3 linked regions of the Nothobranchius furzeri genome follow. The protein of the gene in region 3 purifies or fractionates together with the protein of the main gene of each other region. This does not show direct contact. Links are inferred from orthologs where the notes say so. Each region holds a gene or a part of one and is shown on either strand. Other genes may lie near its edges.

Region 1 (6,182 bases), on a different chromosome or scaffold from region 3:
TCCAAGAGGAAGGTGGCCATAGTTTGTGCTCAGAAAAAGTTATTACAGTGCCAAGAACTGACTTCATGTTTAGCAGACTGAGTGTGAAGTGATGGCAAGTCATGTCGATCGGACCTTTTCTGCAAACGTGCACAGCGCTGAATCAATGTGCAAATGAAGGCTGTGTCTCAGCAGAACGCTGCTCGGCCCTCAGGCCCACACTCAGCACCGGTAGCCCGGCTGGTACGCAGCCTCTGGCCCAAAGCTTTGATCCCAGTGGCAGGATCACTAAAAGTTTTTACAAGCAATAACAATGAAATGACTTCCTGGATTTCTTTTTTCTTTGTCTTGTTTTAAGCTGTTAACGTTGTCCATTTGTGTGTTTTTCTTTTTGCCTGGTGACCGTTGATGTAAATCAGGAGGATAGTAAAGTTCAGAAAAGTAGGGAGACTTTGTTTGTAGTGCTTAATTTATTTTCATACACTTGACGAAAGTCGGTAACTAAGAATCAAAACTTGTGGTTTTCATATCGGTTTAAAATCAGAGTTTGATCTCGTCTCGAGTCAGATTCGTGTTTACGCAGCAGCACATTAATAATAGTCTTATATCATGCTTATAACTCACACAGACAGGGTTACGTCAAGCCCGCTGTGGGGAAAACGCATCTGATGCTACGTTTTAGCAAATATTTTGCCAGTGTTGAGGAAGAAATGGCAAAAACTGGTCAAAACCTGCTTTTTAAACAGTGACCTTTGAAATACAGCCTGAACCTCTCTTCCTGGGTCTGAATGTCTTCCTGTGGTGTTTTACCCACGGCAGAATTTTACTAAATGTTTGCTCGTTTTCCACAGAATCAGAAGAAGAGCTTATAAAGTGTAAAAATAAGTCAAGTCTTTTTGAATTCTTAGACATTTATGCCTTAAATGATAAATGAACCCTGCTTGCTAACAAACAAAAACCTTGTTTCTATGGTTGATCTGTGAAGCTTCTGATGGGCTTCTGGAGGAACTACCGTAATTTCCGGACTATAGAGTGCACTTCAATATAAGCCGCACCAACAAAAAAAAAAAAAAAAAAAGCTTTTCTACACACACACACGCCGCACTCAAATACAAGCCGCGGCGCAGCAGCCACATGCAGGTCTCCGGCGCATAGCGCATGTACGGCCATTACATAAGATAATTAGACAGAAAGACGCCACACGGAGTTTTTTCGTTGTTGTTTTAATTCAACAAAACACATTTTAAACACGGGTGAATGTGCCTGCAAGTTTAGAAATGAAAACAGCACTGATAGCATTCATATTTCTGGATGGTTATAAGATAAAAACAGCACTGACACGTTATTACCGGTAATTTGCATGTTCAGAAGGAAAGAACAGCGCTGACACAGCATTAATAAGCCCTGGATGATTAGAAAATAAAAACTGCACACAAAACATGCCTGTTAGTAAATAAAACACACTTGCCTACCAGAAAAAGTCATTAGCTCTCATCTTCCTCTTGCGCACTAAAGCCATTAAAGTCCTCTTCTTCAGTGTCGGAGATGAACAGCCTCAGAAGAGCTTCGTCACAGACCTTTTCTGTGGCGATGTCAGTGTCTCTGTCCGTGTTGCTGTCATCATCCCCGGGTGAAGCCGGCTTGAATGAGTTCTTCCCGCTGCCGTCTCCAGCGCCGAGCCATGGATTCATTCATGCCAAGCTTACGTGCGGCAGCGCTGTTTCCCTCCTTTACTGCCAGATCGATGGCCTTCAACTTAAATGCGGCATCATATGAACTCATACGTGTAGTTACCATGATGAGGGGGTATGGATTTGAAAAAGATTCTTCGTCGTGCCGGCTGCTTGCATGTGCTAATTTAAAATGAGCACTTTCTTCGATTTCCACTTTTGACTTCCACCTGTTTCACTTTCTGCGAAAGCGCCCCCTGGCAGGTGAAGGAAAATCTTCAGTAAAGCCGCACCTCATTATAAACCGCATGGTTCAAAGCGTGGGAAAAAAGGTAGCGGCTTATAGTCTGGAAAATACGGTACTTAATGCTTACAAAGAGCAGAGTTTTTACTCAATTCAATTCCTTCTATGTTTCTTTAAAACCAGTTGCAGACTGAAGGGAAGTAAAATTCCTTTGATGTTTTGAAAGCTAAACTTTTATTAATGGCATGTGTTGGGATCTACTGTAGGAGGAATCTTGGAACAAACTGATTTGGGAGCATCTGGTTTGGATAATTGACTTTAGAGAAGTTTTTTATTAATATACACAGTCTCTTTCAGGTGTTGAAACTTAAGGGATACGTTATGACCTTGTATCAATAAGCAGATACCCAACATGCTATCGGTGTGATCAGATCACAATGCTTTTCTTTCACAGCCAGGTGTCCTGTTTGATGCTCATGTGATGCAATTGTTTTGAAACTTGAAAAACCCTACAGAAAACTGAATACCCTTTAATAAACTCATTTAAACATGATACTTGTAGTTTTTTGTTTGTTTGTTTGTTTTTTATAAAAGATCTGGCAATTATTATTTAAGCTGAACCAACATTAAGCCAGTTTTAAAATAAAATGTCATCTGGACTTCATGTTAGTTTCACGTATAAAGTAATATCGAACATGAATCATATTAATACTGTTTAGTTGTTATTTCGTCTATAATTTGAATATTAATCCCAGGACAAACTCGTGTTTACAGCAGATTGACAGTTACGTCTACAACCTCCGGACACCGGGTGGCGCTGTTTGAAGCTGGCGGCGCGGCGTCAACCACCAAGCAGCTTCAGCACGGGCGTCCATTGAAAGTCGGAAGTTGTTTTTTGGTTTGTGAAACTTGACAAAATGGCAGAGGACAACAGTTATGAGTCGATGCTGTGTGTGAAGCCAGAGGTTCATGTTTACCGGATCCCGCCGCGGGCCTCCAACCGCGGATATCGGTAAGAAAGCTTCTTTCTGGCGAGTCGGAAAAAGTGTTTGTCAGCAGGCTAGTTTAACTGTCATGTTTCCATTATCGGACTAACAAGCTGTCAACCAAACTGGTCTGAAGACACTCGACAGCTACGGACTCTTTTTCTTAGTTCTCACTAAAGGTTCGTATATTGGGAAAGTTTAACAATATCAACTGGCAGCAGCGAGCTAATAGCTAGAAACACCACCATCAGTGTTTTTTGTTTACAAATGTTTTATTTGAGTTAAGAAGAAACATGTTCTTGTTTTAACGGATTGTTTTACATCATTCACTCTGAAACTGGTTATGAGAAAATCCAAATAAATCAAATTCCCTTTCAGTTTTCACTCTGTGTGTAAAATGGTAAACTTCGGTGGATTGATTTTGATCATTGTTTACATTTTAAAACACAAAAGTGTGTGTGTGTGTGTGTGTGTGTGTGTGTGTGTGTGTGTGTGTGTGTGTGTGATTTCAGGTTTTGTTTTGTATTCACATTCTAAACTAACCCCAATAATCTATATTGGTCAGATGGTACTTATACAACTTTTATTATCTTTAAAAACAAGCAACTGGGAGTTTCCCTGTTTGTCTTTTTTCGATCTTTTAGGCAGATTTTAATTTCACTTCCTCATTATGTTGGACAAGTAAAGCTGCTAAAACAAACGCAGAGACAGGAGCTCCTTTAAATGAGGATTTACATGAATGGTTCTCTAATCCGGTGGGTTTTTCCTGCTTCTTTCATCTAGAGCTGCTGACTGGAAACTGGATGAACCTGCGTGGAGCGGTAGGATGAAAATCACAGCCAAAGGAAAGATGGCTTTCATCAAGCTGGAGGACAAAAACACAGGTAAACCTTATCATGAGCCTCACAGCCAAATACCTTAGTTGTGCTGTGAAACAAGTCCTTTTTTGTATGAACTGGTTTCAACACAGCCTGAAACTCTTCTCAGTGATCATGGGTCAAAGGACAGCAGTTATGATCATTCTTTGTTTAGGGATGCACCGATCAGGTTTTTTGCTGCCGATACCGATATCAAAGAATGCTGATCACCGATACCGATCACGTGGATTGGCCAGAAATTTTCTACAACATTATAATGAGTGCTACAAACTACATAATCTGGGAATAAAAGAAATGTAACCTAATCTAAAATGGTCTGTATTAAAGTTGTCACGGTGTGAAAATTTAACCTCACGGTCATTGTGACCAAAATTACCACGGTTTTCGGTATTATCGCGGTATTTTTTTTAACCGTGCTACATTTTCACACAATTAAATAAACCCTGTATGTCAGGAAATATTGTCATCAGTTTGTGTCTAAATTTGCCTAAAATGTGTTATTTTCTAATTATGTTGTTTATTTGTTTACATTTTTCCCTTTAGTCTTTAAAATACCAATATTTGCCCATAACTTCTTATTTTATGTCTGTTTGATGTCATCATTTTAAAAATATTAGATCAGATGATACTCAGTACTCAAGTAGCCTTCTAATCAGATACTTTTTTTTACCCTTAATTGAGTAATAAAGCCTATATCAGGAAAATATCGTCCTCGGTTTGTGTCCTTCCTGTGAGCTTTGCAGGCAGTAATCATTGTTAAATTCATAATTATTCTCGGAGAGAGACCAACTCTTATCTGCCCCTGGGAGCCCCATAATGCATAGCGTCATTTCAACATGGGGGTAGGGATGCACCGATGGATCGGCATTTGATCGTAATCGGCCGATAGCGCCCCTATCGGTTTTGATCGGAATTTTTAAAATAGATCAGAGCAAACCGATCAGGTAGGGTTGTCACGGTAACCAGTGTAGCGCTAAACCCCGGTAAAAGAAAAAAAGAAAAAAAGTTGACAATAATAACCGTCTTGTTTTTAAAAAAATATATTATCTTGGTGGGTTTACCGTGGCTGCGGTGTAGGCGCGGTGACCCTTACCAGCCACCGTATCATCGGCTGAAGTTGCCGGCGGCACATGCACGCTTTGTTTACAACAAAACTTTCTTGAAGCTAAAGCTGAAATAATGGTCAAAGGAGGAGACGGCAGCGCTCAGGAGGACATTTATTATCCCTCAAAGAAGACAAAGTCGGAAGTACAGGCATCTTTTAGATATTTGAAGAATGCCGAGGGAGTTTATGGAAGACGGACGGCTATCCTGTTTGCAGCACGAGCAGAAAAAGTGTCTGTGAAAGGCAGCAACGCTTCAAATCTCATGACACATCTGCGTGACCATCACCCACAACTCTACAGTCAACGCAAGGCAAGTTAACGTTAGCGTTTTAGCTAAAATGCGTGATCCGAGGAATTGGGTTGAGGGAGAAGGCAACGAGTCGCTATATAAAGCAGCCGCAGCGCCGCCACCTGCATATAAACCGTGTTGCGGACACCCCCATGTTGAAATGACTCTATGCATTACGGGGCTCCCAGGGGCAGATAAGAGTTGGTCTCTCTCCGAGAATAATTATGAATTTAACAATGATTACTGCCTGATGACATTTTCCCACATCTGCAAAGCTGACTGGAAGGACACAAACCGAGGACAATATTTTCCTGATATACGGATTACTCAAGTAAGGGTAAAAAAGTATCTGATTAGAAGGCTACTTGAGTACTGAGTATCATCTGATCTAATATTTTTAAAATGATGACATCAAACAGACATAAAATAAGAAGTTATGGGCAAATATTGCTATTTTAAAGACTAAAGGGGGAAAATGTAAACAAATAAACAACTTAATTACAAAATAACACATTTTAGGCAAAATTTACACACAAACTGAGGACAATATTTTCCTGACATACAGGGTTTATTTAATTGTGTGAAAATGTAGCATGTTTAAAAAAAATACCGCGATAATACCGAAAACCGTGGTCATTTTGGTCACAATAACCGCGAGGTTAAATTTTCACACCGTGACAACCCTAACCCCCAAATTCCACTACCTCCGCTCCGCTCCGCTCCGACACGAACGCCGGAGCAAAATCGGTCCCGTTGTAGTCAATCAGAGCAATTCCACTACTGCGGCCGTGCTCCGGCAGTGCGGCGCCATGCGCCGCCCTCTGTTCCGGCGTCCGGCAAAAATAGAATCGATCCTATTTTCGCCGGACGCCGGAGCACCTCCGCAGTAAATGGACAGAAATCACAACGGCCCAACAGGAAAAGGAGCGAGCACAATTTCCGTTTTTCACAATAAATCGATAAACAAAAGGCGTTTTTTGTTTCATATGCACAGGTTTAACAACTTTTAACAACTATCAATGGCGGCTGA
Region 2 (6,082 bases), on a different chromosome or scaffold from region 3:
TAAGCTAATACACAATTAGCAAGGCTATGATGGACTTCATCTTCCCCGATTCTTTAATAAGATGACTGTTGCCAGGCAACAAATGCAGGCCCCACCACTGGAGAACATAACTGTTCTCATAGCACAGTGAGTAAACTCTATTTTCAGGAGCTAATAACTAAATTGTGCTGGGATCTGGTCGTGAGCTTGCAGGCTCCAGATGTCTGGAATGGACTGATGATTGTTTTCTTCTAGTGAGATTAGAGCAGGTTAGCAACCAGGGTGGCTGCTGCATCAGTCAGACCGTAGCTGAGATGATGAGGGTCCTCTGGAATAGTCAGAGAGAGAAGTCTGTAGCTGCTGCACTGGAAAGAGTGTGTGTGTGTGTGTGTGTGTGTGTGTGTGTGTGTGTGTGTGTGTGTGTGTGTGTGTGTGTGTGTGTGTGTGTGTGTGTGTGTGTGTGTGTGTGTGTGTGTGTGTGTGTGTGTGTGTGTGTGTGTGTGTGTGTGTGTGTGTGTGTGTGTGTGTGTGTGTGTGTGTGTGTGTGTGTGTGTGCGTGCGTGCGTGCGTGCGTGCGTGCGTGCGTGCGTGCGTGCGTGCGTGCGTGCGTGCGTGCGTGCGTGCGTGCGTGCGTGCGTGCGCGAGAGGACAGCTGTAGCGTCGAGCCAATTGCATCTGTACTCCCAGCAGCCTTTGGGACAGTAATGAGAGTTTTCTCGCTGCTCTGCGACCCATGACTCAGAAGGGAGGATGGAGGCGGGTGGAGAAGGAGGCTGCACTGCGGCACCATCAACCTCCAAGCTGCTGTTTTGTGCTGTCATCATGATGTGACTTCCTCTTGTTGGTGGGCGCGAGTATGGGTCTCAGTGGTATTGTGACATGTGTTGTTTCCTGGGTGAGTCAGGTGGACCACCACACCTGGAGATGATGAAGGGCGTTTGCCTCATACATCAGAGCCTGCTGAAGGTAATCGGTGTTCTGTCTGGAGTTTACGGGTGATTTGGTCAGCCGTGGATAGTTTCACAAACTGTACAGAGAAGTTACACAAAGTGTTCTAGTTACAAATCCTGTGGTGTTGTAAAACGAAGCTGCCTCTCACTCGCAGCGATGCGGATGTTTGTCTGTTCAAGTGCTCAGAAACAAACGCAGGTTCATTTAGGTCCTTGTCCTTCTCCCTCATCTAAACGTCGTCTTCATTCCATCTTCAGTTGAACACGTGTCTCATCCCATTCACACATTTAATACTTGAATAATGTTTAATCTTTTGTTGGTGTTACACTTTTTGTCTTTTTTTAAGCAGGTTTAATAGCAGAGAAATGCTTCCAAATACCCCCCCCCCCATTCAGTTATCTCGCTGTCGAGCTACGTCCCCTAACTGTAGCTTACTAACACTGTGCACGCCTTTCCATTACTGCATGTCTCTGTGGTTTACACACACACACACACACACACACACACACACACACACACACACACACACACACACACACACAAGTGTTTAGCTCACCCTGAATGAATCTGCAGTTCTGGCTAACATACTAAATCATGCATAACTCGGTGCGCTGGGTGCCATCTCCACTGTGGCTGTGGGGGGGTGCTGGGTTCGTTCTGCTTCTGCTTTTGGTTTAAAGAAGTTGCAGCTGCCCAAACATGACCCCAGACTCCAGGTGATCTGTGAACGCTCACAAGATTGATCCTCTGCGATCGTTTGTTTCTGTCTATTGAGCCAGCCGTGGAAGGATCATATCCTGCTCTAGAAACCAGAGGTGTGTTTTCACGTCTCCTCTGTCCAGGCTGCTCAGTGTCCACTCTTAATCTGGGGAAATTCCATCTTTGATCATTCAGATCCAACAGAACCAAAGTTCTACAGTTGGAGGGGGTTCTGCTGGGAAGGGTTTATTTTCTTCATTTATGGTTCTACTAACATGTTTACCATGACCAAAATCTCACTCATCGGAACCTCAAGAAATCACAAAGCTAACTGCTCACTCATAACCCAGCTTCACCAAACCCTTTCCCATCAGAACGGGCTCCAGTCCATTCCTAGGTAACATTCTCATACCCCTTGTCCCCTCATCTCCTCCATCTCTCTCACCCACCCCCCTTTTACCACATCCACTTTCAGGACAGGAAATTCTTCAAAGGATTCTTTACTAAAGTAAGTTTTTGGTTCTGTGTGTCTTAGTGTTTCTCTTAGCATTTTAATTATTGTTTCCTTCTCACACCTCACACTTTGATCACATGTGGCTGCTGGAGGAAGCACATGGACACAGACAGGGGAAATGTGTCTGAAGTGAGACCGACACCCTAGTGCATGTGTCTGGGGGGGGGGGGGGGGGCAAGCCAGGGTGGGGCACAGTGTGTGTTTGGGTCTGGATTTTCGGGCGTGCCTTCTCTCCCTTCAGCCCTGCTGCCATGAACCAAGAATGGAACATTGTGTGAATGAATATTTCCTTTTGATTGTTGGGTTTTGTTTTGTTCTAACCAATGGGATCATCACTTCCTGTTTGCGTCAGAGCACCAATTCTCACACCAACCTTCTTCACTTTGTCAGAATGTGTCTCCTTTTGTGTGACAGCTCTCAGAAAACAGCTCGTTTTAGTCACTCTCTCTCATTTACAGGTGTGTGTGTGTGTGCGTGCGTGCGTGCGTGCGTGTGTGTGACGAGCTTTTTATGAATAGGTACGATGGAACTGGGAAGTAATGAAGTAGGGTAGAGGAAAATAAGAGGTTGTGTTTAAGCTGCTGCTGTGTGTGCGTTTGCAGGCTGGGAAGAAGGCCGTGCGAGCTGTGTTGTGGGTGTCGGCAGACGGGCTTCGCGTTGTCGATGATAAAACGAAGGTAAAACATCTCGTCACTCGTCTTTAACAAGCTGATAAATATTCAGAAACACAAACTAAAATCATTAGTTCTTCAGCTCCAGATGTTAATGATTGAAAAGCTGCTCTAGTTCAGGTCTAATGACCTCCACTAGTCCTGATAGCAAGCCACACACAGTTCACCTGCAGAGCTGTTCATGGACGAACACTGACACCTGCTGGAAAACCCTGATAATGTTTCAGTTTGGTGGGCGTTAGCTGAGAGGGTCTCAAGTACACATTTAGATATTACTGACTTTAATTTTCTGGCTCATTAGTTTAATGTTTAGACAAATAGAAGATCTGTAAGGTAATGTATCTGATGGAGTGTAACTGTAATATCAGCTTACTGAGGTGTGTAAGAAATCTACTCGTTTTCTAAAGAGCAAAACTTCAGATGAAATAACTTTTAGAAATCAATTTTATCATAAGAATTTTGATACAGGTCCCCTCTGCACTGGGACTACGTAAGCTTTTACTTTCAGAAGGTCGCAATCGTGAGTTTCATCTTGAACAGTGACGCCATGAGATCCATCTTTGCAGATGAGTCGGTTATACGGCTCACACTCAAGCCTCTTGAGTTTGTAATGTGATGCATAAATGAGGGGAACTCCTCTTTGCAGGACCTTATTTTGGATCAGACGATAGAAAAGGTGTCGTTCTGCGCCCCGGACAGGAACTTTGAGAGAGCCTTCTCTTACATCTGCAGGGACGGCACCACGCGGCGCTGGATCTGCCACTGCTTCATGGCCATTAAAGACTCGGTAAGAACTCACCTTGGATGTTGGACTTTCTTTAGATTCTATGTTTATTCAATGAGCTCTCACACGGGAAAACGTTCCCTTGTTTGAATCTGCAACATTGTGGTCGCGATACTGCCGTCTGAAAGGCTTGTGTCGTTTCAGGGCGAGAGGCTCAGCCACGCTGTGGGTTGTGCATTCGCCGCGTGTCTGGAGCGGAAACAGAAACGGGAGAAGGAATGTGGTGTCACAGCAACCTTTGATGCAAACCGAACCACTTTCACTCGGGAGGGCTCATTTCGCATTACTACGGCAACAGAGGCTGCTGAACGAGAAGAAGTCATGAGACAGTTGCAGGATGCTAAAAAGGGTCAGTATTAAAAAAGCCGACGTTTGAACTTCTGGACTGATTAAGTGACATCAGTGTGTGGCTGATTGTATAAACTTCTGCCTGGACATCATCATCCACACTAGAACCGTGAGGGTCTTCCCCAACAACAAACCCTGGATCACCTCTGACCTGAAGGAACTGCTGAACAAGAACAAGAGAGTTATTGAAGTTTACCAAAGCAGGATACAGGAAACATCTGTGGTCAAGATGAAGAACATTACTGGCTTCAAGCAGAAGGAAAGTCGCACTGATGGAAGTCTGAACAAAGCCAACAAACAGAACATGTTCTTTATTAGATTCAGTTCAGCATCTTCCTCTCCTGCCCCCAGACAACAGGACAGAGAAGACTGGATCCTTCAGTGTGTGCTGCCAGATGTTCCAGATCTTCTAAAGGTCTGTTGTGGAGAGTGTCATCTGTTCTGCTGTCATATACTGGGACAGCTGCGTCAGAACCTGTGGTTACAAAAAGCTGAACAAGCTGATTAAAACATTCGGTTCTGGGAACAAATCAGGAGCCCCTAGAGGTGGATGGACAAAGGAGGATGCTTCAGAACACGATGGACAACCCTGATCGTCCTCTCCTCAAGACAGTAATTCAGCAACTGGGTGTCTTCAGTCTGAGGCTTCTTCATATCTGCTGCAACTAAGAAGACCCTTCCTGCCTACAGCTAGAACAGAGACACTGAGAAACCCTACCCATGTGTTACTACAACGTTTTAATAAATTAGTTTTGAATTGGGAGAAAAGGGCCGGATGACATTTCTATACTGGTCACTCCTGGTGTGTTTCATTTAGATAATCGCTCCCTTCAAACATCTCATTTTGCTGATTTTGTACAAAAATGGACTCAAAGCTTTTAAAGAGACATCCATCCATTTCTTAGGCTCATTCTCGCTCTTCTGTCTTTACAGCAGAAACAGACATGATGGCCGCAAACCTGGTCAACAGTGTGACAAACGCCACTGGTCACCAGCCAGGAAGCTGCCCATCTCCCTCGTCCTCCCCGCCTCTCTCAGTGACCGCTCTCGGACCTCAGGTGATACCCCGTAGACACGCACCGGTCGAGGCTCTCGCCCGGCAGGGCTCCTTCAGAGGCTTCCCTGCCCTCAGCCAGAAAACGTCGCCTTTTAAAAGACAGCTGTCACTGCGGATGAACGAGCTGCCCTCCACCATGCAGCGCAAGTCTGATTTCCCCATGAAAAATACAGGTTAGTAAAGACTAAAGTCATGACTGTGGGAAGAAATAACTTCTCACTGGTTTAGTTTGAGCTTTGGCCTTACGACATGTGAGCAGTCTGGCAGCATTAGCACTCAGACGCCATGCTGGTTGTTTTTTGTCCTGGGAACGATTCAGACCTGAACTGAACAAACCAGTCAGTTGATGACTCATCCTATTTTAAAGGTGTGAAGCACTCATTAGATCAACACATTTGCAGTGGTCTCTAGTAGGAATGAAGCACACACGGATTATTCAGCTGGAGGAGAAAGTAGCTTCACGCGACAGGATTTGGAGTCTTATTTCCTGATATGTGGCCATATCTCCTCTGACTGGCTAACTGCAACACGACTCTACCACTGGCTCTGTTTCCTCTGCAAAGTTAATGTTTTATCTTCACCAATAACACAAGCCTGAAGGAGTTCTGCTCTGTGGTGGAGTTGCTAATGCTCACAGTTAGCTTCTACTAGCCTAGACGTTCTCTGCTGTTTCCTGGACTCTAAACCAACAACAGCCTTCCCCGTTGTGAGTTCATATGGGTGAGTCCATGAATGTTAAGTGACAGTGTGACGTAGGGCAGCTCAATTAATCTAAACACAATTACGATCTGAGTTTTGAATGATTATAAAAACAAAACGAGCCGATTATTTGCTTCTCCCACTTGCGCTGCCCCAAGTTGCAAATGAAGCGCTCCTCCCACAGTGTTGCCAACTTGGCGACTTTGACGCTATTTCCAACAGCTTTTCAGACCCCCTTCTTGACTTTTTAAATCTTAAAAGTACCTGGCGAACACCTCAGAAACATCTCTGGTAACCCTTAGCTACTTTCTGGATAACTGTCGTCGACATTTCCTGCTGCAGGTTAGCTAAACACTCCGCCTGCGCTCCGGACCGTTCTT
Region 3 (5,554 bases):
TTTTGTATCTGATTCTAGTAAACTTTACATGTGGTTAATTTGTATGAATATTAAATGTGTGTTTGTTTGTGTGTGTGTGTGTGTGTGTGTGTGTCATTGTTTCCCTCGTCTGCGGTTTTTGGACCATTCAGCACCAGGTAATGTTGAAAGTTTTGTAAAAAGTCGTGTTTTCATGTGTTTCCACTCTCTGTCATCCTCTGATCATCATCATCCTTGTGTGGAAGTTTTGCTCTTTGTTCCTGATCCAGTTTCTGCTCCTGTTTCTCAGACAAAAGAGGAGCAGTCTCAGATCACCAGCCAGGTGACGGGCCAGATCGGCTGGCGTCGTGAGGGCATCAAGTATCGCCGCAATGAGCTCTTCCTGGATGTACTGGAAAGTGTTAATCTGCTCATGTCACCTCAAGGTCTGTTTATGTCCTCTAAAGACGTCCCTGACTGCTAACATAAAAAGATCCGAGGAAATGTTGACATTCAGAGACGTCTAAATGACTTGCTATCAAGTTTTGCCATGAAGGTCGACTAAAACTAGTTGAAGACTTTTTGATCGTGTTTACTTCTGCAGCTTTAAACAGAGATGGTACTGTAGAATAATTTTAGTATTTCCACAGTTTTAGACCTGAATTAAAAAGTCCTATTGTGCAGAAACGCTGTCTAAATATGGTGGAACCTGTCCCAGCGGTGTCCAGATGTTGATCCTCTCACTCCTTCCATCCAGGCCAGGTCCTGAGCGCCCACGTGTCGGGCCGTGTTGTGATGAAGAGCTACCTGAGCGGAATGCCGGAGTGCAAATTCGGCATGAACGACAAGATCGTCATCGACAAGCAGGGCAAGGGAGGAGCGTCCGACGATGCAGGGAAAAGGTGAGTGATGCGTGAGTGAGGAGGCAGGCGCTTTGGTCAAACGTGCTTTCATAAGGAGGGACATAAATTATGACTTTGCTTTTCTTGTCTAAATAGTTCTGTCCTTGAGCTCCGACTAAGAAATTCTTTTGTCCTTTTGTTTGCTCTCCTTTTGGATGGCTCTCTGTCTTTTATCCTTTCTTTACTTTGTGCTGTACCACAGTGATTTAGGGGGAGGAAGGTACGATAGCAACAAGGTTCCTCTCCCTCCACCGCTTCATTCTCCTCCTGTGTTCTGCCCAGTAACTGTTTCATCATCCCTAACCGTCCTAGTTCACTCTTTACCCATCATCATTTACTGTAGTTTTGTAGTAATAATTTAATCCAGGTTCAAATGTTGTCTTCTAGCAGCCATGTCTTTGTACTTAAGTATACTGGTGGATATCCAGAGAGTAGATTTTATCTGTAGATTGGAAAAGGATAGTTAAAATCCAGACTAGTAACAAGTTAGTTGGTGTGTCTGATGCATCTTCTGTCCTCTTCAGTGGGAAGCAGTCCATAGCCATTGATGACTGCACTTTCCACCAGTGTGTGCGTCTCAGTAAGTTTGATTCTGAGCGCAGCATCAGCTTCATCCCTCCTGATGGAGAGTATGAGCTCATGAGGTCAGTAATGGTAGTAGATTATTAGAGCCTAAAGCATCCATGAATGTCTGCTCTGATAGATCCTGCTGGGTTTTTATTTATTTTTTTATTTTTCCACTCATTCAAAATTTTGGTGGATTGATAATTCCCCCCCCCCCCCCCATTTATTTTTATTAATTTACTTTTTAAATGTATGTATTTTTCAGATATCGCACCACTAAGGACATCATCCTGCCGTTCCGAGTTATTCCTCTGGTCAGGGAGGTGGGTCGCACCAAACTGGAGGTTAAAGTGGTCATCAAGTCCAACTTCAAACCTTCGCTGCTGGCTCAGAAAATTGAGGTCAGCAAACACATTTTTACATTTTTGATGAAATTCTTTAAGTTTTGACTTCACTGGTAAATATCTGGGCTAATTCTCTCCTCAGGTGCGAATTCCAACACCCCTCAACACTAGCGGTGTGCAGGTGATTTGCATGAAGGGAAAAGCCAAATACAAGGCCAGTGAGAACGCCATAGTCTGGAAGTGAGTTGGAGCTTAGATTAAATTTAATTAACAATCTGAACTCGATGTTTAACCTCTCAAGTATTCCTGTGTGGGAATGTTTCCTTTGTGAAGCTACAAGTTTGCATTTGCAGGATCAAGCGGATGGCTGGGATGAAGGAGTCTCAGATCAGTGCTGAGATTGAGCTGCTGCCTACCAACGATAAGAAGAAATGGGCCAGGCCTCCCATCTCTATGAACTTTGAGGTAAGCGCAGCACAGTCCAGTCTGTCCTCCTTTAAGCTGTCACAGCTTAAGAGCTTCCTAATTTCAGTCGGATTCAAAGTGAACTTTTCTCTTCCAGCTGATGTTTCTAAAACTATATTTATTCTGTGAACAGTCACAGACATAGATAATAATAAGTTAGATATTTCCCAGCTTCTCCTGGTGGCTGAGACTGTAATGTGGTGTTGGCAGCCAAACAAATGGACTCTGGGTTAAATCAGATCCCAGTATTTGCTAAGAAACTTAAAAGCCGTTTAGTGTTAAACAAACTCAGAGCTTCGGTGGTGGGTAAACAGAGCAGCCCGCCTGTCCTAACATGTTCCAACTTCCCTCTCCTCTCCAGGTTCCTTTCGCACCCTCTGGCCTGAAGGTGCGCTACTTGAAGGTGTTTGAGTCCAAGCTCAATTACAGTGACCACGACGTCATCAAATGGGTGCGGTACATCGGCCGCTCCGGCATCTACGAAACCCGCTGCTGAAGTTCAGCCCCGCCAGGCAGCAAACTGACCACTTCCCTCCCATCTTTCCTGTCATTTTATTCTTCTTTCCTCCTCCTCCGTCTTTGTTCCTCCCTCTGTCCTTATCACTTTTCTCCTTCCCCATCATCCCTTCTTAACTAGGTGTCGGAGATTGAATTTACATCGTTTAAAAGAAAAACAAGTAAATATGGTGTAATTCAGATATATGCAAAATGTGAACCATTGTATCGTATATATCTAGTAGTGATGAGTAAAAAATGTAAACCATCTGGTGTCCGAATGAAAAAGACAAGTGATGCCGGGTCTCAGGGGGAGAGGGCGGGAGCTTTGTGTATCCAGTGTTATCGTTCTTCTTTTCTCCGATATAGAAATCCCACGTCAGTTAACCCTGGGAAGGGGGTTCGTCACTATTGTGATTTAAAATAAGTCCTGATAGTTTCTATATATAAATATCCTGGTAGAGTTGACCTTTTCAATGAATCGGTATTTGATGCTACATGCTCGTCACTAGAAGGTAAATCATTCCCAGCCGACTGTCGTTCAGAAAGAAATGACGCTGAGCAAGTTGGTTTTGTACTTGGACGTTACTGATCCTTTACCTGTGTTCCTTTTCCCTCCGCTTTCAGAGTTATGCCAGGCAGGTTAGACCTTCATCCTGATTGGCTTATTCTGACTCATTCCCACAAACATTTTATAAGCACTAAGATTAACTTTCACACTATTTTTGGATTTAAAGATCAGTCTGCAGGGTTTGCAGTGAGGTGATGTCTCCCCCTGGTGTTTGCTTCGCCACTGTCTGCTTCATGTGTGTAGCCCTGGTGACCGTTCTGTCCAATAAAATCTATGTAACCAAACATCTTACCCCTCCTTTTCAGCTGTGTTTTTTATAATACTCTGGGGGGGGGGAGTACAGTCATTTTTCTCCATTACTGCTGTCAAAAGAAAATTGAAAGGGCAGAAAAAATTAGATTGGTTAATCAGACCAGAAAAACTGTTAAAAACTGTTAACTTTTTTTATTCTTGGGTCTACATCCAAAATATCAGACAAAAGTAACAATTAAAACTACTTGTGTACATTTCTTTGCCTTCTGCCATTCGAGTTAAGTGGACGTGATTCGTAGCTTAGCACCACAAGCTAGGCTGGATCTCTCCCCTGCAGTTTCTCTTCAACGCTCAAATCTGATTAGCAATGACAGCCAACATTTACACTAATCATTACAATGTCTCGTTTTTGCTTGGATGAAAGACATGCTTAGATCACTGAAGATGGGAAAATCCAGGATATTTGACTAGACAATTCTGTTACTATGATCCTCGTTTGTGCCCATGTTTAAGCTACAGGTGACGCCATCAAACAGCATTAGTTAGTGGAAGTACTGGTTAACCCTCAGATTGCCATCGAAGTGTGCTAGTCATGAGGAACTTTTAAAACCCTCTTTAGGAAGAACATTTGTGTATTTCCAAGATGAATATAAAAACAATACCTGCTGTTTTGATACAAGTTCCTCATAAGCTTAGATCTGAATTGCTCAAAGAAAAATGCAAGTCCAGCCTTGCTTTTGTCAACTCTGCTCAGAGTTCAAATGAGATCACAGGCAAGAAAACTACAAAAATAAGCATTTCTACATGATTTAAGTTATGTTCTCTCACGCCACTGAAAGGCGTCTACTCTGAAACTAGTCTTCCAAAGACTGATTCTTGTCTGCAGACAAGGGCTGAAAGCAAGTTTTTTTTACTATGTGGCATGAAATAAAAACACTCAATCCAGATGTGTCAGATAAAACATCTGGAACATGCGGACTAAAAGAACTTTAGCACATGCAGATCCACGGATACGAGCAGCTCCGACGTGGGCAGGCAGACACACAGGAACAAGCGCACACACACCTTCACTCAGATTACTCTTAGGCAATGAAACCTGGAGTTTTCCTGTTATTTTAGGAGAAAGGTGAGTCCATGTTAGTCTGAAAAATGAGCAGATCATTTGAAGAGTTCTGGATATATTTTTTTTAAACCTGATCCTCAAGATAACAGTGACTGAACTCAAATGACCTCAGATTAAAACTGAAATCAGTGAGCCCTAAAGCTAAGCTCACTGAAGGAAAACTCGTGCGCCATGATGTATAAATACAGCCAGGAATGGAACAGTGTAACGCCTGCAGAGGCTTCCAAAGCGACAGTGAGGGACCAACATAAAAAGTGAGACTCTCAGTGGTAACTTTAACTAATAGTTCTTTAGAAATGATAAGAGAAGTGGCTGTTAAATCAGGAGCCGAGGAGCACCCGGCTCTTCAAATAAACGAGACACAGAAGTGCTGAATGTAAAACCATAAAATAAAATGTTGCAGCCAGGAGCGCCATGCAACTTCGCCGCTTCTCGACTCGTAGTGCTGTGACAGAACGCTACAGGATTTAAAGCCCTGTTTAGTCGTCTTCGTCGTCGTCCTCACTGATGAGGTATCCCCGCGCCCCGCTGTGGTGAGGAGGAGAGGGAGGAGGGGAGGTCTTGGAGAAGAAGGGGAGTCTGAAGGTAGGAGATGGCGAGCGCTCCTCACGGGTGGGGCTGCTGTTGGGGCTTTGCCTGGGGCTGATGGCCTGCAGCATGCGGCCTTTCCCTTCCTTCAGCATGTGTTTCTGTAGAGGAGAGACCAACTTGATCAAAGCCCGCTCCCAAACCGTCTCCAAACATGACGTATAGGACAGAGACAGATCCTAGGGCTGGGCGATATGGCCTAAAATTAATATGATATATTGAGGATTTCACCTCTAACAATAAATGGAAGATAACTACAGGTACGCGCAGAAACAAAAGTTGTCCACTAGAT

What was found.
Region 1: the proteins of AP-2 complex subunit mu-A (region 3) and necap2 purify together in Homo sapiens (affinity purification with mass spectrometry; 4 studies listed by BioGRID and IntAct, counting the BioPlex papers as one, with this or other methods). This does not show direct contact. The link is inferred for Nothobranchius furzeri from reciprocal best matches to the Homo sapiens genes AP2M1 and NECAP2.
Region 2: the proteins of AP-2 complex subunit mu-A (region 3) and numb purify together in Homo sapiens (affinity purification with mass spectrometry; 3 studies listed by BioGRID and IntAct, counting the BioPlex papers as one, with this or other methods). This does not show direct contact. The link is inferred for Nothobranchius furzeri from reciprocal best matches to the Homo sapiens genes AP2M1 and NUMB.

Annotation. Positions count from the first base shown.
Region 1 is NC_091743.1:46,249,798-46,255,979, forward strand, and holds the start of necap2 (adaptin ear-binding coat-associated protein 2), read left to right. Parts: upstream 1-2,716; 5' UTR 2,717-2,810; coding exon 2,811-2,905; intron 2,906-3,662; coding exon 3,663-3,763; intron 3,764-6,182. UniProt on the Homo sapiens protein: Involved in endocytosis.
Region 2 is NC_091758.1:16,880,017-16,886,098, reverse strand, and holds part of numb (protein numb homolog), read left to right. Parts: intron 1-480; exon of another isoform or gene 481-858; coding exon of another isoform or gene 859-945; intron 946-2,104; coding exon 2,105-2,137; intron 2,138-2,745; coding exon 2,746-2,820; intron 2,821-3,460; coding exon 3,461-3,601; intron 3,602-3,742; coding exon 3,743-3,947; intron 3,948-4,879; coding exon 4,880-5,176; intron 5,177-6,082. UniProt on the Homo sapiens protein: Regulates clathrin-mediated receptor endocytosis. Plays a role in the process of neurogenesis.
Region 3 is NC_091751.1:56,901,700-56,907,253, forward strand, and holds the end of AP-2 complex subunit mu-A, read left to right. Parts: intron 1-268; coding exon 269-404; intron 405-715; coding exon 716-860; intron 861-1,384; coding exon 1,385-1,504; intron 1,505-1,689; coding exon 1,690-1,825; intron 1,826-1,910; coding exon 1,911-2,008; intron 2,009-2,121; coding exon 2,122-2,233; intron 2,234-2,594; coding exon 2,595-2,729; 3' UTR 2,730-3,590; downstream 3,591-5,554. Other genes in the region: pcyt1aa (choline-phosphate cytidylyltransferase A), read right to left, coding at 5,154-5,363.